Caenorhabditis elegans: one gene and its partners. The protein of the gene in region 4 purifies or fractionates together with the protein of the main gene of each other region. This does not show direct contact. Each region holds a gene or a part of one and is shown on either strand. Other genes may lie near its edges. The genes, in order: lys-1, trpp-10, fbxa-101 and Y37H2A.18.

The links.
Region 1: the proteins of Y37H2A.18 (region 4) and lys-1 fractionate together in Caenorhabditis elegans (co-fractionation; one large-scale study listed by BioGRID). This does not show direct contact.
Region 2: the proteins of Y37H2A.18 (region 4) and trpp-10 fractionate together in Caenorhabditis elegans (co-fractionation; one large-scale study listed by BioGRID). This does not show direct contact.
Region 3: the proteins of Y37H2A.18 (region 4) and fbxa-101 fractionate together in Caenorhabditis elegans (co-fractionation; one large-scale study listed by BioGRID). This does not show direct contact.

The regions. Positions count from the first base shown.
Region 1 is NC_003283.11:10,275,226-10,281,007, reverse strand, and holds lys-1 (Lysozyme-like protein 1), read right to left. Parts: upstream 3,105-5,782; 5' UTR 3,101-3,104; coding exon 2,639-3,100; intron 2,445-2,638; coding exon 2,010-2,444; 3' UTR 1,952-2,009; downstream 1-1,951. Other genes in the region: lys-2 (Lysozyme-like protein 2), read left to right, coding at 227-640; Y22F5A.11 (uncharacterized protein), read left to right, coding at 5,431-5,459, 5,510-5,606.
Region 2 is NC_003279.8:1,892,026-1,899,075, reverse strand, and holds the start of trpp-10 (Trafficking protein particle complex subunit TRAPPC10/Trs130 N-terminal domain-containing protein), read right to left. Parts: upstream 3,901-7,050; 5' UTR 3,842-3,900; coding exon 3,772-3,841; intron 3,723-3,771; exon of another isoform or gene 3,721-3,722; coding exon 3,639-3,720; intron 3,579-3,638; coding exon 3,380-3,578; intron 2,602-3,379; coding exon 2,299-2,601; intron 49-2,298; coding exon 1-48. Other genes in the region: Y71G12A.4 (AB hydrolase-1 domain-containing protein), read left to right, coding at 4,198-4,238, 4,332-4,407, 5,091-5,379, 6,204-6,435, 6,507-6,807.
Region 3 is NC_003279.8:12,957,138-12,963,076, forward strand, and holds fbxa-101 (DUF38 domain-containing protein), read right to left. Parts: upstream 2,796-5,939; 5' UTR 2,783-2,795; coding exon 2,724-2,782; intron 2,669-2,723; coding exon 2,585-2,668; intron 2,528-2,584; coding exon 1,846-2,527; intron 1,799-1,845; coding exon 1,595-1,798; 3' UTR 1,503-1,594; downstream 1-1,502. Other genes in the region: F08A8.5 (Galactoside 2-alpha-L-fucosyltransferase), read right to left, coding at 1-140, 203-278, 324-487, 720-765; fbxa-140 (F-box domain-containing protein), read right to left, coding at 3,235-3,495, 3,545-4,217, 4,272-4,324; C47B2.2 (Phosphoribosyltransferase domain-containing protein), read right to left, coding at 5,314-5,518, 5,830-5,911.
Region 4 is NC_003283.11:18,130,025-18,136,109, forward strand, and holds Y37H2A.18 (F-box domain-containing protein), read right to left. Parts: upstream 3,254-6,085; 5' UTR 3,209-3,253; coding exon 3,168-3,208; intron 2,688-3,167; coding exon 2,201-2,687; intron 1,844-2,200; coding exon 1,643-1,843; 3' UTR 1,595-1,642; downstream 1-1,594. Other genes in the region: Y37H2A.12 (F-box domain-containing protein), read right to left, coding at 643-726, 775-966, 1,036-1,085; Y37H2A.7 (F-box domain-containing protein), read right to left, coding at 3,276-3,867, 4,096-4,179, 4,234-4,454.

The DNA of each region.
Region 1 (5,782 bases), 7.9 Mb from region 4:
AGACACAGTTTAAATTTAGAATTTCCCTCAAGTTCATTTTGAGGCTGGTACTACTATAGTTTCAGTTTCATAGAGAGTTGCTCCTCTATTTATGAATTTTCTCAAAAGTATTTTATCATTACTTCCTCTCAATTCACAAGCATTCACGAGTTTGTGTATTTCTTATCTTTCAGAAAATCGAACATAATATTTAAATAATTATTTCCCTAAACTACAAATTTTCCAGGTTACTTCCCCTGCCAACTGGCCAAACAATCCAACTGCCAACGTCAACTTTATCAACAGCATAATTTCCCGTGCTCAACAATATGGTCTCTCTGTTGGAATTTACACAAACCAATATGACTGGAGCCAGATTACTGGAAATTCGGCGAATATCAATTCTAATGTCATGCTCTGGTATTGGAATGTTCTTGGAGGTGGTACTTCTGGAGAGACAAAGCCAACTTTTGCTGATTTCCGTGCTTTCGGCCCATTCAAGAAGGCTTCAGTGAAGCAGTATGCTCAAGTTGAAACAGTTTGTAATTTGGTTGTGAATCGTGACGTGTATGCTGTTGGAATTCCAGCTGCTGCTCCAAAGACTGAAGTCAATATGGCAGATGGTGAAAAGATTGTTGTCGGAGGATTTGTCGGAAACTAATTTATTAAACTTATTATCGGTTTTATGATCTCTTCCCAAATAAAATTGTTATCATCTGTTATCATTTTGCCGGCAGAAGAATTTTCTTGAAGGAGAGAAAAAGTCTAAAAGTCACGAAAGTTAAACACATTGATATTAATGCGTAAAAAGCGATTAAATGCATATTATCGTTAGGTGTCAATGCAACTTAAAAAGTGCAAAAACATCTTCGTATGTTAATTTTCAGATTTAATTATTTTGAACAAATGATTTCTTTTTTTCAAATTACGTTGAGTTCAACAAGCCTTCCACGCGGGTAATATTGAATATATTCTATCCTATACCCTCTCAGATAAACTGGAGTCACGGCTGACTAGGGAACCGTCAGAAGCTGCCCATCGGACTTGCATATGAGACCAATGCCATTCGATAGTGCATGTCTTAAAACGGTTGCTCGTGAATTTTTAGCGGCAAAACTCCAGAACCAAGCTCACGGCGGGCTCTCAAAGATCTTAAAATAGCACTGTAAGGAAGAACTTTAACGATCTAACGAAGCAATTTTCGAATTTCACTTTGGTAGCTCATATCTCCGTAGATAAATTTTTTACAGAAAAGTCATCAACTAAAAAGTTGTTGATATTGTTGTAAAGAACAAGTTTGTAGTTGAAAGTTTTTTACCAAAAAATTTTTGTTTGCGAGAAAATCATTAGAAACGGAATAGCAGCATAAAAATAACAACACCAGTTGCCGCACTTCACGCACTTTTATCTCAAACAAAAATTTTGTGGTAAAAAACTTTTAATTACAAACTTGTTTGTTACAACAAAATCAACAACTTATCAGTTGATGACTTTTCTGTAAAAAATTTATCTACGGAGATATGAGCTACCAAAGTGAAATTGGAAAATTGCTTCGTTAGATCGTTAAAGTTCTTCCTTACAGTGCTATTTTAAGATCTTTGAGAGCCCGCCGTGAGCTTGGTTCGGGAGTTTTGCCGCTAAAAATTCACGAGTAACTGTTTTAAGACATGGGCTATCGAATGGCATAGGTCTCATATGCAAGTCCGATGGGCACCTTCTGACCGTTCCCTAGTGAGGGACAGGAAATCACTGCCAATTAGCATTTATGCCACGGCTATTTTAACTTTTTAAATGTTTACTTTTCAAAATTATATTTATAGAAACGATTTCCACAAAAATCTTCAGAAATAAAGTGAAATCGTCATGCGAAAAGACACAATTAAAATTTTACTGATCATTCATTTTAATTTCTGGTATATATCTGGTATGTTATATGGTATATTTCAGTATTTTTTAAAATAAAATTTTAATAAAGCTAGGATTGTTTATTGAAATAATACAAATAGGTAAGAGATCACAACATAAATATTTTAGACTCCAATGACTCCTCCAACAACAATCTTTTTGTTGTTGCTGCTGATGTCCTCTTGAGTGAAAAAATCAGTGTTTTTCGATGAAGCAGCAGCTGGGATTCCAACAACGTAAACATCACGATTGACGGTCAAAGAGCAGACAGACTCAACTTGAGCAAATTGCTTAACAGAAGCCTTCTTGAAAGATCCGAATGCACGGAAGTCATCGAAAGTAGCTGGAGTCTCTCCAGTAACACCACCTCCAAGAACATGCCAATACCAGAGAAGAACATCAGAGCTCAAAGTTGCCCAGTTTCCAGTAATTTGGCTCCAGTCGTATTGGTTGGTGTAGATTCCGACAGTCAGTCCGTATTGCTTGGCTCGTGAAATAATGCTGTTGAGGAAGTTCACATTAGTAGTTGCAGACTTCTGCCAGTTGGCTGGGGAGGTAACCTGAAAGAGTTCAAGTGTATAGACTATAATCGTCGAGAATTAAATTTCTTATCAGTTGAAAATTGAAAAATAATCTCCGGAAAGAAGATTTTAATGTTTAAGTGTACATTGTTTCCAGTTTTTCACATATGACATTTTAACTAATTTAACTTTTAATTGTTCAAGGTTTTTTATATTTCTTGTATATAGCTAACCTGAATCCAGACAGATCTGATGGTGATTCCATTTCCGTTAAGTCCGTTATAAAGAGCATCAAGTTGTTGGTATCCTTGAAGAGAAGAAAGTGGTTGTGGAGTCATGTAGACCTCAATTCCCAATCCAGCAGAATAAGCATTTCTGATAGAAGTGACTGAAGTTGTGTCGAATGCTCCAGATCCAAATGGAGTGAAACCTCTGATGAAAACAGCTGCATATCTGGATGTCTTGAGGCAGTTCATTTGAGAAACTGTTGTTGGAACAGAAATATCAACTGCGTAGGCATATGAAGCATCATTGTTCACAACTTCCGGAGCTGGCTCGGCCTTGATCTTCTCGAAACCAATATCAGTCACTTCGAAGTTGTCCTGTGGAAGAGCTACAACTCTATTAGAGTCGACATCTTGTGGTCTAGCAGAAGCCAAAGCAAAAAGGAAAGTAACGAAAGCAAGCTTGAGCATGGTTCTGAAACAAAAAACAGAAAATAATATTGACTTGAAGAAAAGTGCCAACGAAAAGGTTGAGAGAATGAAAATCTAATGATTCGGTGATGGATGGCGGCTCGTTTAAGTAGAAGAAAACGTCCAGTGATAAGGGTAATCAGTGGAGATAGAAAAGTGACGAGTAGGGTGAAAGAGATTCATTCGGGGGCGTTAGTAATATTAAATGTCAAGACTATATTAATTGGAAACTGGAAAGTTGATGATAAAATTAAGTACTCTTTTTAAATAATTTCTACCAAAATTAGTTATGCGATTAGTCAAAAAAAGAAGCATTCTTCATTTAAAACAAAATTTCTTTCCGCGACCAATTTGGGCAGGGAATTTTAAAGCGGTTGGAACTGAAGGTTTCTGATAAAATACTTCTACAAATGTGAATATGACTCATGCGATTCTGTCAATAGAATACTAGCACGCTATGACATATATCACTAGTCGCTAACGGCTATTGCTGATAGTTTCTTAGATGAGTCACTAAATTTATTTACATCCCACTTTTCACATGTTATTCTGTTGGTTTTGACGAACATTCTATCATGAGTTGACGAAGAACTACATATTTTCAATACATGGTCAGACAACGTTAGCCATATTGCCGACAATTTGAGAATCAAAGGTTGATTTATATTTGAAGTTTAGATTTATCTTTTCATGATATTCCGAATAAAAAACAACGATAGATCTTTGTGTTTTATTTATTAGATATTCTCATTTTCTTTCTTTTACTTCATGGAAATATCATTTCCAGGCTGGCTGCTTCATCTTTAATGTCGGTTTCGGATTAACGTCTAGCAATCTACGAAGAGGATCTTTCACTTCCAAATATCAAAACCCATGTGACAACTTCAACAATTGCCCAATTTTTCCACATTCCAAATTCATTGTCCATTTTTTTCCGTTTCAATAAAATATTTGGTCACCCTTGTGCTCTTCACCATCCATATTCCTTCATTGTCACAATTCGAAAAGCTCCAAAAATTCGAAAACGAAGAGTAGAAGGATGTGGTCGCCTCTCGACAACAATTGACGGACTCTTCCCGTTTGCCACTTCACCAAACTTTCCTTTTTTCTATTCTTTTCTTCGTTTTTTTTCCTTTTCTCCGCTTATTTTCTGGAACCGACATCTCGTCAGTTATGCTCCGGTGCCTGGCCAATCACAAGACAAACCCAGAAAAAATAGAAGCTCGTTCGCATCCAAATGAGTTTTCCTGCGAAGAAAATTAAAAGAAGAAAAACGTAAGGTGGCCTGTTAGGGTTAAAATAGCTGAGCGGAGGGAATTCCTAGATAAAAAAGAAGAAAACGTAATTCACTTGAATATTTATCGGTGACTATCTTGAGGTTTCTAGTTAGAAATGAAGATCAAGAATCAGAGATTTTCGGTACCTTACTTTTCCCAGTTTTAGGAATAATGAAGATCTTTTTAACTGGATCAGCAATTTTTTATAGATGTTTTATAAATTACAGAAGACAAAGCAAATATTGGCATTAAAAAACAAATAAACTGCTATAAAAACATTGCACAACATTAAACCCTTTCAAATACACCTCTCAACAGAAAATAATCAAAAAATACTGAGATCAAACATTCATTCGCTTTCCTAGGATTTTGTGCTCTCAAAATGAAAATCCAGCTGCATTCTCAAAACTCGAAAATATATGAATTGCACTTACTAGGCAGATGGATTTGGTGAGAGTTTCAATAATCGATCTTTTACAAATGATAACGTGCATATATTTTTGAAATCAGTATTATAGCCTTCAGAATGCGCAAAAAACCTATAAAGGTTCACATTGAAGGTGACCATGCCGGTTCGAGGCGAGATTAAGTGACTTTTGTGACTTTTATACGCTCAAAATTCTAGTATTGTAGGTCGCTTCAGAAAATGTATGCCCTTTCGTAACAATTAAAACCTAATGAACTGTACATCTCTTTTCTTAACCCATGTCCACCTATTTTGCTCTGTTGGTATGTCATCAACGATGCGAAAAAACGCATTCATAATAACGAGCGGTCGACATCCGGCGCAGAGCACTCGTGTATTATTTCCGGGGCATTCGTCCGTTTTTGTCCGTTGCTCTCTTTCTTCTTCGTCTTCTTTTTTCTTCTTCCACGAAAACTCTTCTCAGCATCGCCTTTTCTCTGTGTTTTATGTGTCCGATGGTTTCCCGTCCCGTTTTTTACGAGTTCTCCTTTTCCTTCTTTCTTTCCATTGATCGTCCCATTCGTCTTTTACTTTTTTGTTGCTCTTCTTATTTTTTGTTCTGAAAAGAATCCGCAAATGTCTTCTCCATGAGTATGCACAGAGAACGTCTGAAAATGTATTTTGCCAGAAGAAGAAGATAGATAAAATGAACATTTTGAACTTTAGAATTGGGATTCTCAGTTTCAGCCAACTAACCGGCACAAGGAGCAAGTGGCTCTGGGGAAATTTTATTTTCGATACACTGAACATATATCAAAAATAATCCTAAATAATGTTTATTCTATTATGTCAAATTTTATATTTGAAGCTCAGTTTGCAACGGTACCACTTGCCTTAATTTTTGATCCATGTTCCAAAACATTAATATTTTAAATAAAGTTGTCTTATCCCACTATGTATAAGTTCATTAGCTAAAAAAAATCACCAGTTATGCAGTTT
Region 2 (7,050 bases), on a different chromosome or scaffold from region 4:
TGCGTATTCAATTGCTCCAAAACTCCAATAGAGGCGAGCGTATTCTGTCTGCAAAAAAATATGGAAACATTTTTGGTGATTTTCTGTGAGAGTTTTCCGTTGAAAAATTAACATTTTTCGCTTTAAGGTGATGTAGTTGAATTTTTAACTGCATTTTTTGACTCAAAATTGTCTGAAAACACCGAATTTCATAATGAAACTTCTTGAAAATTTCAACTTCTCAAAAAAAAAAAAGTTATGACGGCTCAAAGAGTGGCCTAATATTAGTTAAAATTTGAAATTTGACCGACTTGTCAAGCGGCTGGAAACTGATTTTTTTTTAAATCACCGTCAAATTTTGAGTATAAAATTCAATTATCTCGCATTTTCACCTTCATTTAATAATTTTAAAGTCGGTGGACGGCAAGATTTGGTAAAAACAATTAAAAAATCTCAGCGTCCATCGACTTTATAATACCTAAATGAAGTTAAAAACGCAAGATAAATGCATTATATACTCAAAATTTGACGGTGATTTCAAAAAATATTGTTTCCAGCCGCTTTACAAGTCGGTTAAATTTCAAATTTTAACTAATTTTAAGCCATTTATTGAGCCGTCATAACTCTTTTTTGAGTAGTTTTCAAGAAGTTTCATTATGAAAATTCAGTGTTTTCAGATAGTTTTGAGTCTAAAAATGCAATTTTCAAAAAATTCTCAAAAAAAAACGTATATTTTCACTGAAAAATTCAATTTTTTTACTGAAAAAAACGTAAAAAATAAACATTTTTTTATAAATTTACCTTTTCTTTAATTTTTGAGTGAAAAAATTCTATAATTTCTTTGAAACAAATTAATTTCTGAAAATTATTACAAAAAAATTTAAAATGACAAAATTTACTATTTTTTCGCTTTGAAAAATCCTAAAAATCCAATAATTTTTTTGTTAAAATTCAAATTCTGCTCATATACAGAAAATTCTGATTTTTTCCCACAAAATCGAAAAATTTCTGACAATTTTAAAGGAATGTTCAAGAAAAACTGATATTTGGTTTAAAAAAATGTTTTAAAAAGTTCCAAAAAATTCCATTGTCGAAAAAAAAATTTTTTTTTTAATTAAATTTATTCGAAATCGTCGTTTTTTTTTTTTGTAACAGTGATTTTTTTTTCGACAATGGAATTTTTTGGAATATTTTAAAACATTTTTTTAAACCAAATATCAGTTTTTCTTGAACATTCCTTTAAAATTGTCAGAAATTTTTCAATTTTTTGGGAAAAAATCAGAATTTTCTGTATATGAGCAGAATTTGAATTTTAACAAAAAAAATTATTGGATTTTTAGGATTTTTTAAAGCGAAAAAAATAGTAAATTTTGTCATTTTCAATTTTTTTGTAATAATTTTCAGAAATAAATTTGTTTCAAAGAAATGATAGAATTTTTTTCACTCAAAAATTAAAGAAAAGGTAAATTTATAGGAAAAGTTGTATTTTTTCCGTTTTTTCAGTAAAAAAATTGAATTTTTCAGTGAAAATATATGTTTTTCTTGGAAATTCCTGTAAAATAGTAGGAAAACACTCTAAATCAGATGTAAAAAAATAATTTGTGGTGTTTTTTAATACTGGAATTCATGTAGAATATTGTGCCAATTACTTGTTAAAAATGCACATTTTATTCAACGATTTTTGGTTTTTACTGCAAAATTCGGTTTTTTTTTCAATTTTTTTCATTTTTCATCCAAATTTTTTTTGGTTTTCTTGTGAAAAAAGGCAAATTTTTCCGATTTTTAACTAAAATAGTAGCTTCTAATCGATTTTTAACGTTTTGAAAGCCGGAATTTTCTGAGTTTTTCAACAAAAAAAAATCAATTTTTCTTGAAAATTCCTTTAAAATTGTTAGAAATTTTCTAATAGTTTTCCGCTTTTTTTTTCGATTTTTTGAGCAAAAAATAGTGAATTTTCTTCCTATATTCAAAAAAAAGTTCTACATTTTTTGGCATTTTAAATTAATTTGTTTCAAATAAATTCTAAAAAAAATTTTTGGAAAAATGGTAAATTTATAGGAAAATTTGTATTTTTTAAGTTTTTTTCAGCAAAAATATACGTTTTCCTTGGAAATTCCTGTAAAATTGTTAGAAAACACTCGAAATTAATCGAGAAAGTAATATTTTTCCAATTTCTTGGTAAAAATGCACATTTTTATCAAAAATTGTTGGTTTTTAATACAAAATTCGGTTTTTTCAACCAAAATTTCTCGTTTTTATGTGAAAAAATGCGAATTTTTCCGCTTTTAACGCTTCAAAAAGACGAAAATCGCCGCGCACCATCGATGAAAAATAAGCAAACGGCTCCCAAGTGTGCTGTTTTTTGCGTTCATATTGATTTTTCAGCGATTTATCCCAAATCTCCATGACCAACGTCAAATGTTGGAATAAAAATTGCTGAATTCCCTGTACAACTGTGACAAAAGCCGCCTGATCACTAGTATCGGGTAGATCGAATAGCCGATTAGGATATTTCGCGAAATCCGATTTAATTTTCTCGACAATCGAATTTTTCGTCTTCCTGTCCTTGGCTCTATTCGTATTTATCACTATGATCCATTGAACGTCGGATTTTGAGTTTAACTGGAAGAAAAATCAATGAAAATCAATGAAATTTTCATTTTTTCCATTTAAATGTGGAGTAGCACCAGTGGGGAAATTGCTTTAAAACATGCCTATGGTACCAAAATGACCAAATATCATGATAAAAAAATTCAAAAAAATTTTCTAAATTTTTATGATTTTTTTTAAATTGAAAAAATCTCAGTTTTTGCCTAATTCCTATTTGAATTACCGCCAATTGGACTTGTTCGATGGAGCGCGCTTGCACGTTTTTAAATTTATTTATTTTATTTTTTGTTATTTTCCACCAATTTTTAATGTTTTCGGTGTATTTTTGCTTGAATTTTAGAGAAAAAGTCAAGATAAATGCAAATTTTTGATTAAAAAGCACGCTGACAGGCGTAAATCAGTGAAATTAATTAATTCAGGTTCGACATCGTTTAAAAACGTTACTTTTTCATTTTTACGCCTGTAAGCGTGCTTTTTAATCGAAAATTTGCATTTATTTTGGCTTTTTCTCTAAAATTCAAGCAAAAATACACCGAAAACATTAAAAATCGGTGGAAAATAACAAAAAATAAAATAAATAAATTTAAAAACATGCAAGCGCGCTCCATCGAACAAACCCAATTGGCGGTAATTCAAGTAGAAATCAGGCAAAAACTCAGATTTTTTCAATTTTCAAAAAATCATATAAAATTTAGAAAATTTTTTTGAATTTTATTATCATGATAGCAATTTCCACACTAAATAGCGCTACTCCACCTTTAAAATCCTTTAAAAAAAAATCAAAAATCACTTTTGCGAACCAATCCGACACATTATGCCGGACATTTGCGCGATAATCGTCGGCGGAGGTGACATTTATGTTAAAAACGTGTAAAAACGCGATTTTCGTGATCTCGGTCGGTGAAATTTGCGGTCCAAAGCACAGTTTATCCTCGTAAGACACGAATTTCAGTGGAAATGTCAGCCGGTGCGGGAAGGGTTTGTTGTTTCTGGAATTTATATATTTTAAAATTAGAAAAATTCGTATTAAATATTTAAATAATTCTAACATCTTCCAAACCAGCGAATTTCTTGAAAAATAAGATACCAACGCATGCTGATAGACAGAAAACGACTGATCTACACCGGCATCTGGAAAAATATTAATTAAAAAACAGGTTTTTCCGGCTTTTTCGGGCTCACGAGAGATTATCACTGAATTTTTCTGGAAACTTTTCGATAATCCATTAATATCCAGCAAATCTCGATCCATATTGCCTTGAAAATTAGGAAAAATCAATAAAATTGAGGCTTTTTCATTGAAAAAATAAATAAACAAAATGAAATGTGGATTTACGGCGCGCAACGACACTCCGCTATTCCGCACGCTCAATTGGCGGGTATTCAAATTGGGAAATATTGTCTGAATGTCGTTTTAATAGAATTCTCAAGTAAATTTTCGACTTTTTGAGTATGTTCGATATAAAAGACTATATTTTAACTATTTTTAACGTTGTTTTTTTTTTTGAGAAAAAATTTGTCAAAGCGAAAAAACAAATAATCACGTTAAAAGTATATACTAAATAGTATAAATTTCAGTTTATTTCTGATTTATTACAAAACAAAACAATGATTTATCCGAAGATGAGAAATTTCAAGCGCGGAGCCAAGTGAGTTATGGGCCGTGGGTGGCATGGGCTCTCTGCAGAGCGAGGGCCGAGGAAGAGAAAGCTCTTCCAGGCCAAAAAAGCCTAAATTTTCAGGAAAGAACGTAAAACAGCCGGTCTATGCACAGAACTTCACCTATCCGTCGCCACTGGTCCCAATGGGGAGAATACGGTGAGTTTGGGCGAGTTTTCTCAATAGGGCGCGCTTGCAGAATTTTTAAATTTTCAAAAATCTGCAAGTGCGCCCTATTCGAGAATCGCTGCGAGACCCTAGAAAAAAGCTTGGTATAACAGGTCACAGGTGCTTGCCTTCTTTTTTGAAATGTAAGAGTTTGCCGAATTAGGCCATTTTGGCTCTGCCACGACCGGGGTAAATTTACGGCGCGTTGCGTGTCGCGTCGCGGCTCGGTTTTACACGGGGTTCTGGCCTTTCTCATTGAATGTTTCGCGCTCCATTGACAGGACAACGCGTGGGAAAGTTGTGTACTCCACACGGACAAATACATTTAGTTTTACAACTAAAATTGAGCCGCGACGCAACACGCAACGCGTCGTATATTTACCCCAGATATGGCCGAGCCAAAATGGCCTAGTTCGGCAAAAAACTCTTCCATTTAAACTTATGAGGGAAGCCACAAATCGGTGATTTTAGTTGTAAAACTAAATGTATTTGTCCGTGTGGACTACACGACTTTCCCACGCGTTGTCCGGCGGGCGATTGTCAATGGAGCGCGAAAAAATCAATGTGGAAGGCCAGGTGCCCGTGCGCGGCTTGCATAAAATTTTTTGAATTGCACAAAAAAAACGCAATAAAAATATGGGAAAAAATACCAAAAGCTCCAAGTTTTTTTTCAGATGTCTGCCACGTTGGCACCGGAAGACTACGCAACAATCGTCTCAAATCTGCAATCAGCCGTATGTCTAAACGTGGCACACCGTGTCGCGTGTCCGGCTCACGATTCGAAATTGTGGAGTGACGTCATGCAGAAGAGCTTCTCGATTTGGAAGATCATTTCAAGAATTTTGCTGATCATTGTGTCGATCTTCTTCGTCCTGCTGCCACCGTATCCGCCAAAGTTGTTCAGGAAAATTGTGTTTTGTAGTCCGCAGAAAGGACGATACTATTACCTGATTGCGGCTAAAGGTTTGTGGGGATTTGGATAGGCAGGGAGGCAGGCAGGCAGAAAAGCGTGTAGGCACGTAGGCACGTAGGTAGGCATAAGATATATTACATATATAATATGATATAGGCATAAACATAGATAGGCATGAGAAAAGCGTGTAGGCGCGTAGGCACGCAGGTAGGCACGTAGGTAGGCAATTAGGCACATAGATAGGCATAAAGTAGGATCAAAGGAAAGTATGAGCTAGGCACAAGGTAGGCACGTAGGTAGACATAAGATAGGCATGTAGGCACATAGATAGGAAAGAGAAAAGCGTGTAGGCACTTAGGCACGTAGACACATAGATAGGCATAAGAAAAGCGTGTAGGCACGTAGGCGCGTAGGTAGGCAAAATATAGGCATATAGACACCTATATAGGCATGAGAAAAGCTTGTAGGCACGTAGGCGCGTAGGCAGGTATAAAGTAGGAGCAAAGGCAAGTATGAGCTAGGCATAAGGTAGGCACGTAGGTAGGCATAGGCTAGGCATTTAGACACATAGATAGACATGAGAAAAGCGTGTAGGCATGTAGGCACGTATATAGGCATTTAGTTGGAGAAAAGCTAGGCATAAGGTAGGCACGTAGGCAGTCATAAGGTAAGCGAAATTTTCTAGTTTTTTTTTTAATTTTTTGCTTTTCCGAGAAAAATAATAAGAAGAAAGCTCGTTTTTCTATGCGTTTTCTTGAAAATTTGCACTCCAAAGAACATGGTGGCCGAGTTTTTGCCGCTTTTCTGCCGACTACGGCCTCCAGACCTAGACGGCATATAGGCAGGCAGGCAGGCACACATTGAACTCTTCCAGGAACAAAACGTAAAGCATGCTTCCAAGCCAGCGAGGCCGATGGTTACGAGCATCTTTCGATTAGTCTTCCACAAATGATCAAGCCGAAGGTCCGAGCAATCGACGTATTCTATCACCTGCTCCGCTGTAAAGTGTTCACTTTGCCATACGACGAGAAGCACAAGATTTGTGCGATGGAGCTGTATTGTGAGCAATCGATTCGATGGCTGCATCGGGATAAGAATCGGCAGAGGTGAGTTTTGCCTAGGCAGGCAGGCACGTAGGCATGCCTGCATCGCCTCGCCTAAACCCTCTCTTTTCCAGACTCCGTTCCCCCAACCTCATCATCTTCTCGCAACCCAACTCCTCGGACCTTGGCTGCTGCTTGATGATGGATCCAAACTTTGCGGATATCGCTGACTTTCTTCAGTGTGATCTTTTGATCTACGACTATCCCGGGTACGGTGTCAGCGAGGGAACGACAAATGAGAAGAATGTCTACGCTGCTGTGGAGGCGGTGATGAAGTACGCGATGGGCACGTTGGGCTACTCACAGGACAAGATCATTCTCATTGGATTCAGTTTGGGCACGGCGGCGATGGTTCATGTTGCCGAGATGTATAAGGTAAACTTGGTAGGCCTGTGTGCCTATATGCTTGCCTACCGTAAGGGCCAGGTGTGTGCGCAAAATAGGCATGATTTTTCTGGGGTGCTCATGAGGTGCCAGGCAGCTCCATTACGGTTTGATCTACAAAAAAATGCGGGAATATTTTCCCCAAAATATTGTGACGTGTCAGCACGTTCTTAGCCAATCAGTTGAGAAGTCTGCGTAAAATTTCCCGCAATTCTCATAGATCACACACATACG
Region 3 (5,939 bases), on a different chromosome or scaffold from region 4:
ATCTGCCAATTTTGGGAACAACGGTTGAATATTCCTGTTTAAAGTTTCAATAAAACTGGGATTTGTAGCATTTATCACTGCTTTTCGTTGCAATGAGGTAGCAATTCCATGCAGGGAAATTATCTCGAAAAGCTTGTTTCCTAAAAATGAAAAAAGCTTGCTGGCGCTTTTCTAGTGCCCTGACGCATTTCCTGATACTCACCTAGTCCACCAGAAGGGAAGGCGAAAAGCATAAGTTGCAAGGTTTTTTCATAGTTTGGCTGGGACTTTTGTGAATTCTGAAATAAAAGTTTTTTTTTTCAATTCCATTTTAAAATTCTCACTTTTTGCTCCAAATCCAAAAAATGTCGATTTTCAATAAAACTTAGCAAGTTGTTCACATTGATCTCACATTTTGGCGATAAATTTGAATTTTTTTGAAAATATTCTAAAATATGACTGGATCCCAGAGTTATTTTGATTATAACATAGATATTGGCAAATATTCCTGGAAATATCGAGAATTGCGCCAGCGAAGTTGGGTGCTGGCGCACGTTTGGATACATGACGTTACGATGTTCAAAAGTGCGTCAGTTGGAGGTTTTAAAGAGAATTCAAAAAATTGTTTTAGATGAAATGCTGTCAAAAAATTATAGATATTACTTTGAAAATTTTGGAAATTCTGGAAAACTTTTGTTTAAATTTTAAATTTTTCAGACTCTTTTTCTACACTAACTCACCTAAAACCAAGCAAAAATACATCAAATAATTCGAATTATACCTCATAGTTTCAATTTTCAAACACTTAAAAAATTTCCAAAACAAAATATTTTTTTTCAAATTTTGAAACTCTCTCAAAACTTGAATAATATGATTATATAGTAGCGGGAATCAATAATTTACAGCGAAAAACATGTATTTGTATTATTATTAATAGTATCCAAATAGCCAATGACTGGAGCAATGAGCCCCCATGGTGCATCGAAGGGATGTGTAAATAGCTGCAAAAATGACATATTTTGCGGTCCAGATCATTGTTATAGAACTCGTTACACGTTTTGGGCTTGTAATAAAATTAAAATTTGAATTTTGAAAAAACACTTTGGGAAATTTTTTTTTTGTGAAAAAATTTAAAATTTCTAAAAACGTTTTTAAAAAATTAATTTACAATTTTTGCTAGTATATTCTTCACTTTCAGCTAAAATTTCTAGAAGAAAGGTTCAAAATATGACAAATTTGTAGCTTAGAGCAGGAATAAATTCATTTTTCTTTTCAAAAATATATAATTTATTTAAGCACTTGATTTTTTTTTTTTTTTTAATTTTTTTTTTTAAATTTTTTCACTAAAACGACTAAAAACATGAACTTTCCATAAATAATTTTCAAAAAAAAGTCAAGTTTCGCTTTCGGTTGATTTATTTTCTTTACCGGAAGCGACGTTTTTTCAATGTACTTTCTTGGCTTAGGCTTATAAAATGTCTAGTTTGTAGTCTATTAGCCTTCCAGTGTTGATCAAAGAAAAATGACAAAAGCAAATTCATGAGAACGAGATGAACAACAATAAATTAAACAACAATTTTTGAAAAACCAAAAAACAAAAATTAAAATTAAATAATCAGCCGAGTTTCTTCTCAATTTTCACTCGCTCTTCAGTGACTTCAATGACATATTCAAATCCATTTGCCTTGTAATTGATGGTTCCGGTTTTGCCAGCGAAGGTAGGATCAAACTCTTGGAGCATTTCTTCTGCAATTGATTCACTATCATCTAATTGCTTGCTGACGACACAAGTTTCCAGCTTTGTAGACGAATTTACCAACTGAAAGAATTTTAATTAAATCAACTAAAAATTGATTATTGCTATACCTCTTTCAGATCATTTGGCGATACCTCTGGACTGGTGAATTCAATACTTGAAAATCCAAGAAGATCCGACACAGTAAATCCAAAGACGGAGCAAATGTTAAGATCAGTTCGCAATTGTTTTGCATTTTTAAACTGTTCCAAGCAAGTTAGTGGACGAATATCGTTGAAGATGCAACGCATAATCTCAAATTTCACAAGTGTTCCAGCATCGAAAGAACTGAGAATTAGCGCAGCTCGTGGTTTCTTGAATCCACTCAGAGAAACTGATTTCGCTCGGAAACAGTGAGCATCTCCAAACTCCATATCGATTGTTCTCAGGCTTGACCTCAACCGTTCATTGTGGACATAGTCTTCATATCCTCCAATTGAGTCGAAATCTAGACTGAACTTCTCAATCTGAGCTTTTGGAAGCTTCATGACATTGAACAATTTTCTGAGAGCAAACTGTAGTCCTTTATTGTAGATGGTTCTTCTTTCATCATCAGCCACGACCGGATGGAAAGGTTCATTGCGAGCGTTGCTTATTTCATCATAAGGCACAAATCTATACCGATAACGAAATGATTTTCCATTGAGAACAATGGTGTACCTATGGCCCTCAATAAAAATATCAATGTCCAAATCCAGTTTCAAGGTGTCGATGAAGCTTCGAAGATTTCCATTGGAATTGCGAACGGAAATCCTGAAAATATTTTTATTATACTTTCTAAAAATATAATTTTTATTTATTTGATCTTACCAATCGTATGGATGCAGTTTCTTCACAATTTTCTTCATAATATTCAGAGGCAAGTCAAAAAGCGTCGGCGAGCTTGTCTTCGATCTGAAAATGTGTTTTAAAAAAGTTATTTGAAATTATTGTAGCCTAAATAACTAACAATTTCATGGAATTCTGCTTGTCCGTCGTTTCACCAATTTCTGCTCTTTGGCTAGTCATGTCGACGAATTACCTGAAAAAAATTAATTTGAGTAAATATAGAAAATCACGTTCAATGTGTAAAAACGAAATTAATTTTTACAAAAACAGGTTATTTTACTTATTTTAAATCATTTTCAGGGGAAAAATCACAAAAAATTGGTTAGAAAAACGCATAAACCACATTTGAAAATTCAAAAAAAAATTTAGAATTTTTGTGCGTCAAATGAGATGCCCGGTACGCATACTGCGTACTCTGAGAGTTACCGTAGTTTGGAAAAGGATCTTTGTTAACTATTCGAGAATTCCTTTTAAAATATAGAAAAACTGGGAAGATTACAAAATATTAAACGGAAGGTAACATTCAGCCGTAACCCAAATTATTGGTTTAATCAGTTTCAAAACAAAAAAAGTAACAAAATAAGAATTCATGTGACTAGTAAAACAAAAGCAAATTTTGAAAAATGAGAAGATTATTCGATTTTCTTCACAATTTTAGTTTCGAATTCAGTGACTTCAATGAGATATTCGAATCCATTTGCTTTGTAATTGATTGTTCCGTTATAGCCAACAAAGTTCGGATCGAACACTTTGAGCACTTCTTTTGACACCGTTAACACTCCACTATTGTCCTCATCATCGCTGTCTTCATCACTATCTTCATCGCTGTCATCCTCGCTGTCATACGTGTTCCTGCTGAGACAAGTTTCCAGCTTTGCAGACGAATCAACCAACTGAAAAAAAATCTAAAATTAATTAATCAATAATTAAGAATTTCTATACCACTTTCAAATCAGATGACAATACTACAGTTGTGAATTCGATATTTGAAAATGCGAACAGTTCAGCAACTCGAATTCCGGTGTAGCGATCAGTGGAAAGTCCAGTTTTCAGTTTTTTCGCATTCTTCCACTGCTCCGAAAGCGTCAGCTGCCAACTGAAGTAGAACTTGTAGGAATTAATGATTTCAATGTTCTCGAGAGTTCCAGACTTGAAAGATTTGAGAATGAGCACAGTTCGAGGTTCCTTTAGTCCACTCAGAGAAACTGATTTCGCTTGGAAACAGTGAAACTCTCCAAACTCCTTATCGATTGTTCTCAGGCTTGCACTCAACAGTTTATTTTTAAAACTAACTCTTCTGGAACCAATATCGTAGATATCTTCAAATTCGTCACTTCCTCTTCCCATAAAGTCAAAATCCAGTTTGAACTCTTCAATTTGGGCACTTGGAAGCTTCATAACCACGAACAATTTTCTGAGAGCAAACTGTAGTCTTTTATTGTAGATGGTTCTTCTTTCATCATCAGCCACGACCGGATGGAAAGGTCCGAAGGATTGATTTCCATTGATATCAATGGTGTGAAAAGTGCCCTCAATAGAAACATCAATGTCCAATTTGAGGTGCTGGCTGTCGACGAAATCTCGAAGATTTCGATTGGAATTGCGGACGGAAATCCTGAAACTCATTTGGTTTTTTTTTAACATTTGCCTAACATTCAAAATTTGATACCAATCGTATGGATCCACTTTCTTCATAACTTTCTCCATAACATCAACTGGCATGCTTAAAAGCGTAAGTGGTCTTTTCTTCGATCTGAAAATAAGCAAATTTTAAACTGAATCCGATGCAAATTTCATTTTAACACTAACAATTTAATCGATCCAGTTTCTTTGTCATTTCGACAATTCCACGAGATGAGCCAGTCATTTTGACAAATTACCTGAAAAATAGGAAATTTATTTGATTGATTCAGTTTTCAATCGTTTGAAGTGAAGAAAACAATAAGAAAATACGGATAAAGTGAAATATCTTTGTAAAATACGTTACCTAACGGTAAAATAACAAATTTTCCAGTAAATTTCGTGAAAACTGAAAATTTCTTTTCTGTCTAATAAATTTTCACAAATAAAAATCACAAAAACGACAGGAAAAATGCAAAAACTATGTTTGAAATTTTGAAAATCCAAAAACAATAAACTAGGAATTCTGTGCGTCAAATGAGATGCCCGGTACGCAAGTTGCGTACTCCGAGAACTACCGTAGTTTCGGAAACTTTTTTTGAAACGGCTAATTTTAACTTATTTTATTTTCAGAATATAATGAAAAAAAAACAATTTGCATGCAAAGTAGCAAATAGAATTTGAAATAAAACGTTTATTTTCGTAAAATTTCTTAAATTTGCAGTGAAAATCCAAAAAATGAGGAAAAATCTCACTCTCAACTTTGCGCGTAAAATATAGCGCCCTGTACGCACACCATGTACTCAGAAAATGACTACCGTAGTCATTGCATCTTAAAATAATGTTTAATGAACCGAAAACAACACAAAAGAATTTAGTTATGCGGAAATTCAATGAACATTTTGTCAAAAAAAAATAGGGGAAATCAACAGTGAAAAAGTAAAAAAGAAGACTACAATAACTACAAACTACAAACCAATAACGAGAAATGAAGAGATGATCAAGTGAGAAAAGTGAATAAAAATACTGCATTTGAAACGGAAACGATGTAGTTTGTAGTGTCAAAAGGCTACAAACTACACAAAACTAGTCTAGACAGCACCAAAATAGCTGGTTGAGAAATGATTTGGATAGAGAGATGTGATATCGGAGGCGACGACAGTGATATACGGGTACTTTCTGGTTATATTCTTGAGTCCAGTCGGTGAGATGAATAGGGAAACCAAGTAGATATTCTCATCTGGGACACGTGCCTCTTTTAGGACTTCAATTGCCTTGCAAACTGTCGTCCCAGATCTGAAAAATTGGAAATTTTGATAAAAATGTGATTTTTTAAATTTAAATGTTTCTTCAGTTAAAAAAATTTCAAAAAAAGATTTTTTTTGCACAAAAAAAAACTCAATTTTTTAGACAATTTTTCGCCTTCTGGGGAAGTTTTAGTGATCGACATTTTTAAAGTTTCTACGTCAAACAAATTATTGAATTTTACGATTTTTCGCCGGGAAAATCGATTTTTTGACATTAAATTTTGTGTTTTTTTTCTCAGATTTTTCAATCAAATTTATTTCGGCCAGATATTTTTTGTAGTTTGTAGTCTCTGAGCGTACCCTATCGTTGGGTAGAGCAGTAGAACTCGACGCGACGTGATATCCGGAAGAAGCCTGGCGTAGAGCACTTTTTGTTCGTCGCCTGTAACAAAAAGTGGATGAAAATTGGA
Region 4 (6,085 bases):
AATCGATAAATTTTCAGAAAAGTCGATGAATTCTAAGAAAAATTGTTAAATTTCCAGAAAAATCGATAAATTTTTAGAAAAATCGATAAATTTCCAGAAAAATCAATGAAATTCCAGAAAAATCAATGAAATTCCAGAAAAACCGATGAAGTTCCAGAAAAATCGATAAATTTTCAGAAAAGTCGATGAATTCTAAGAAAAATTGTTAAATTTCCAGAAAAATCGATAAATTTTTAGAAAAATCGATAAATTTCCAGAATAATCGATAATTTTTCAGAAAATTCAATGAATTTCCAGAAAAATTGATAAATTTTCGGAAAAATTGATTACATTGGTGAAAAATCGATCAGCGATTTCAAACTCCGCCCACGGCACCTGATTGGTTTAAAAGTGGGCGGAGCGAATCGCTGATTGGTCGCAGTTCTCATATTATTTTATTGGAGAGAATTTAGAAAAAACTGGATTTTTCGCGATTTTTTAGTTCAAAAAATCTCCTCGCCATCAATATTTCTGACATTTTTTTGTAAAAAATCACAGGTAAACGGGAAATTATCGATTTTTCGGCCAATTTTGAAGTTTTACCGAATTTTTTTTAAATTTTAATGAAAATTGTAAATTTTCTAAATTTTATCAAAACTCTACCTATCAATTGGCTCCACATTCTCCAAAATCGTGTCAACAACTTTAAGCGGCATATTCGAAAGTGTCAGACTATCCGGGTTCCAGCTGAAAAATACATTTTTTGTCAAAAATCGCAATTTTTAATCAATTTACATCAGTTTTCCGCTCAAATCCGCATTTTCTTTTCCAATTTTATAGAACCAAAAATCGAATTCCCGATATTCCATAAGATCGTCGCCAATTGTTTTGCAGAAATTCTTATATGCTTCGAAAACTGGCTTTTTTTGAAGAAACTCGTAGAGAATGCATGCTCGGAGAGCATTTTTGTCGTTTCGAAGGAGATCTCTGAAATATTATATTTAATTTTATTGTAAAAAAGCAAATTAAAAACAAATATAAATTGTATAAGCTAACTTTTTCGCAGAATCCGGGATTTCGCCTTCTAGAATGCCTTCTACTTCCATTTTCTTGCAATTTTCTGAAATTTTAGCCTTTATTTTGTGATAATTCAATCATATTCATCCGAAAAATCGATTTAAATCCAGAAAAAGCTGGAAAAATCAATAAAACTGAGAAAAAATTGCTCGTCAAATAACGCGCCGGGTACGCAATGCGCATTGCGTACTTCTTCAACTACAGTACCCCACACGAAAAATTTTCCTCATAAAATATCGATTTTTCCCAATTTCAAGCGAAAAATCACGAGAATTACGATTTTGAAACTGAAATATAGCTCAAAATTATAAAAAATATTGCTGTTTAACACTTCCAAATTGTAGTTTGTAGTGCTTTAGTGTTTTTAATCATAAAATTCCTGATTTTTGTCGATTTTGAGCAAAAAAAACGCGAGTTTTAACTCGAAATCATGAAATTTGGATAAAAATCCGAAAAAGTCTACATTTTCAACGAAAAACAACAGTTTTATTAACAAAAAAAAGGGAAAAAACTACAAAAAAAAACGGAAATTTTCAAAAATCAACAGAAAACAGAACAATATTCAATCAGACTCAGCGTCTAAATTCTAAACCTTGGTGATATAGATGATATGATTGACACTGTCCAAATAGAAGCCGATAACAAACTTGAAACCTTGGGTCTCGAAGCGAACTCCAGCAGGAAGTGGTTCAGAGTATTTTGGGTAGAATACTTTCAGAATTTCCATGAAATCAGGATTTCCAACAAAGATTTCAGCACCTTTAAAGCTGGGCTTTTTCATGAGAATCTGGAAAATTAATTATTTTTTTAATAGTTATATTTTTTTTAGTTGTATGGCTATCCAATACTTATTAATATATTCATTATTAGAAACTATCCGAAAAAGTATCCTCCAACACCCCTGTTGTATACCCAAAATTAGACAGTGATTTCAAAAAAAAGATAGTTTCCAGTCGCTGGACAAGTCGGGCAAATTTCAAATTTTGACTAAGTTTAGGTCATTTTTTGAGACGTTTTCAAGAAGTTTTGCGATGAAATTCGGTGTTTTCAGGCAATAAAAAGATGCATTTTTAGTTAAAACGAACATTTTTAAACGAAGAAAATGTACGAATACGAATTTCCCCCATTTTTAGTTAAAACGAACATTTTTAAACGAAGAAAATGTACGAATACGAATTTCCTCGAGGTATCCCGGTTCCAAGTACGGAAGAACGTGATCACTAGTATCACCGTAGGCATCGTTAAGCACAACCGCAGTCACTCGAATGGGTTTCAGCTTTTTCAGACAATTCTCAACGAGTTCCGTGTACTCGTCGTCGCGGAGCATATTGTAGAAAGTGACATCGAGAACTTCAAGCGAGAATTTCGGATTTTGCATGATTTGGCACAAGTCGGAGAGACCAGCTTTCAATGGGCATCCTTTTGACACGTGGATTTCCTTGTCATTATAGTTAAGTGTGAAGTCGTCCTCTTGATCCGAATATTGGACGTATTCAACGCTGTTCTCATCAACATCATTAAAATTTATGAAAAAGGACCAATTGCCAATGTAAAAGCTAATCTTCTTGAATGCGAGGGCCCGGCTGTCGATGATGTCACGGAAGCGATGAGACACGTTTCGAATTGGGAATCTGAAAAAAATGTCGATATCACATTTTAAGGAAATCACGTGGTGTCAGAATGTCTCATTTCAGCTTGATCTATGTTGATCTACAAAAAATGCGGGAGAGGAGACGCAGAGTTCTCAACTGATGTTGCATAGTTAAGAACGTGCTGACGTCACATATTTTTGGGCAAAAAATTCCCGCATTTTTTGTAGATCAAACCGTGATGAGACAGCCTGGCACCACGTGGGAAATCCCTATTTTCTTTTGCCAGAAAATCGTGAACTGTGTTTCAGATAAAAATCAATGTGCTTTCTTCTGGAAAACTACTATAAATTCTCGTTTTCTTACATTTTAGCGAAAATTTTCTTGATTTTCCCTTGAACACAAAAGTTAAATTTGCGTTTTCGCAGAAAATTAATTCACGATCTGCGTAAATCGATATATTTTATATTCTCTGTTATTCTTTCTATTTTTAGTCATTAGGAACATTTAGTATTCACTAACAGCTCGATTGGCATCACACGGTCGAAAATTTTGTTGAGCATATCGTCAGGCAGCTCCAAAAGTTGACGACTTTTCGGATTGAATCTGAAATATTTTAAATTATTTAATTTATATGTTTTTTTTTGTCAATTTTTTCCAAAATACCCCCCCCCCCCCCCCATCCATAAAGAATCGCTTCGCAAGTTTAAACTGCTCAGTCTTGATAACCCTGTCACACTTGGCAAGCCAAGAATGTGCCTCAAAATGAATATCCTCGAGTTTTCCCGGCTCTAAATACGGAAGAACGTGATCAATAGTGTCACTGTATGCGTCGCGGAGAATAACCACCTTCACTTGAATGGATTTCAGCTTTTTCATCATATTCTCGACGAGTTCCATGTTCTCTCCTCTGAGATATTCGCAAAATGTGACATCGAGAGTTTCAAGCGAGAATTTCGGATTTTTCATGATTCGGTACAGATCCGACAGACCAGCTTCTACGACGGATCCTTTTGCCACGTGGGTTTCATGTTCCTTATACTCAATAGTAAATCCCTCCTCGTCTTCATCCTCATCTCGAGAGTATTGAACGTCTTCATCATCGTCATCAAAATTCATACTAAGACAAAAATTGGCAATGTTCAGTTCGATTTGCTTGAATCTGGGAGCCCGTCTGTCGATGACGTCACGGAAACGACGAGACACTTTTCGAATTGGGAATCTGGAAAAAAATGTGATATTTAAAAGAAAACCCGTGTAGTTTAAAGTACGTTCAAATCGTTTTTTTAATAGTGTTTGACAAAAATCAATGTATTTTCTCCTGAAAATTACAAATCCTCGTTTTCTTTTTTTTTCAGCGGAAATTTCTTCGATTTACACTTGAACAACGTTAAATTTTTGAGAAAATTCAATATTTTCTGCCAATTTTTGGCAATTATTAATTACTAACAGCTCGATTGGCTTCACGCAGTCGAAAATTTTGTTGAGCATATCGTCAGGCAGCTCCAAAAGTTGACGACTTTTCGGATTGAATCTGAAATATTTTAAATTATTTAATTTATGTTTTTTTAAAATTTCTTCAAAATACCTCAATTCACTGCCCAATTCGGCATTTTCCTTTCCCAATTGATAGAAGAAAAACTCAAATTCCCGGTATTCCATTGAATTTTCTCTGAAAACATCGCAGAAAATGTTGAAAGCGTCGAAAATTTCGGTTTTCTGGAGGATTTGGTACAGAATACATGCCTGTTGGGCATTTTTATCCTGGCGGAGAGTGAGGAGATTCGCATTATCGTCGGGATCTGTCATTTCTGCTGAAAATTAAGATTTTTGAGTTTTTTCAAGACGAAAATTGATTTATTTTGAAAGAAAATTAAACAAATTCAGCGCAACAAATTTGAGACAAACATTTTTCTTCCGAAGTACTGTAGATTTCGAAATACGCAAGGTGGTTGCGTACTCGACATTCAACTTGACGCGCAACATTTTGAATAGCTTTTTTTGAATAATATTAAAGTAAAAATAGCCAAAAATATGCTTTTTTCAGCAAAAATGACAGATCCTGACGAAAATGCGAATCTCCTTATGCTCCGCCAGGATAAAAATGCCCAGCGGGCTTGTATTCTGTACGAAATCCTCCAGAAAACCGAAATTTCACACGCTTTTGACATTTTCTGCGATGTTTTCGGAGAAAATGCAATGGAATATCGTGAATTTGAGTTTTTCTTCTATCAATTGGGCAGTGAATTAAGGTATTTAGAGGAAATTTGAAAAAAAAAACAACATAAATTAAATAATTTAAAATATTTCAGATTCAACCCGAAAAGTCTTTAACTTATGGAGCTTCCGGACGATATGCTCAATGAAATTTTCAACTACGTGAAGCCAATCGAGCTGTTAGTGGAAATTAATTACCCAAAAATTAGCAGCGGCCAAAAAATGCGAATATTTTGGAAAATAAATCAAAATTTACTTTTTTTTTCAAATAAAAATTAATTTTCCGCTTAAAGTGAAAATTAGAGCAATTTCAAAATTTTTTCAGTTTTCCAAATCAAAAACACTGGAAATTTCACAAAAAACTGTAAAATTTCCTGCAAAAAATGGGGTTTTCCTTTAAATTTGTTATAGATTTTTTCCAGATTCCCAATTCGAAAAGTGTCTCGTCGTTTCCGTGACGTCATCGACAGCCGAGCTCCCGGATTCAAAAAAATCGACTTGGACATTGCCAATTTATACTTTATCATGAATTTCGACGATGATGAGAACAGCGTTCGGTACCGCCGTGAGGAACCCGAGGATGAAAGATTCATTATTGCATACGGGGAACAAAAAGTCAATGTGGAAAGCGGTTGTAATGTTACAGCTGGTCTCTCCGATCTGTACCGAATCATGAAAAATCCGAAATTCTCACTTGAAACTCTCGACGTCACATTCTACAAATACCTCCGCGAAGAGAATATGGAACTCGTTAAAAAAATGCTGAAAAAGCTGAAATCCGTTGATGTTAACACTGTAATCCTCCGTGATCCCTTCGGCTCCACTAATCATCACGTTCTTCCGTATTTGAAGCCGGGAAAACTCGAGGAAATTCAATTCGTTCCGCATTCCTATGTCTCGTCGTGTCATGAGATTCTCAAGACGAAGCAGTTTAAACTTGCCAAGCGATTCTTTTGGGAAGATCAAGAGTGGAAAATGTCGAAAGACACGAAACTTGGGAAGTTTTTCCACTTGGAACACTTTACTACTTCGGTGGAAGAATTCACAAAACAAGACGCGAGAAAATTAAAAATGTTCGTTTTAACAACAAAAATTTGGTTTTATTTTCAAATAATTAATTTTCCAGGTTCTCATGAAATAGCCCGGCTTCCAGACGGCGACGATCTTTGTGGAAATGCCTGATCCTATGGAAATTCTGAGAGTATTTGAACCGAAATGGTATG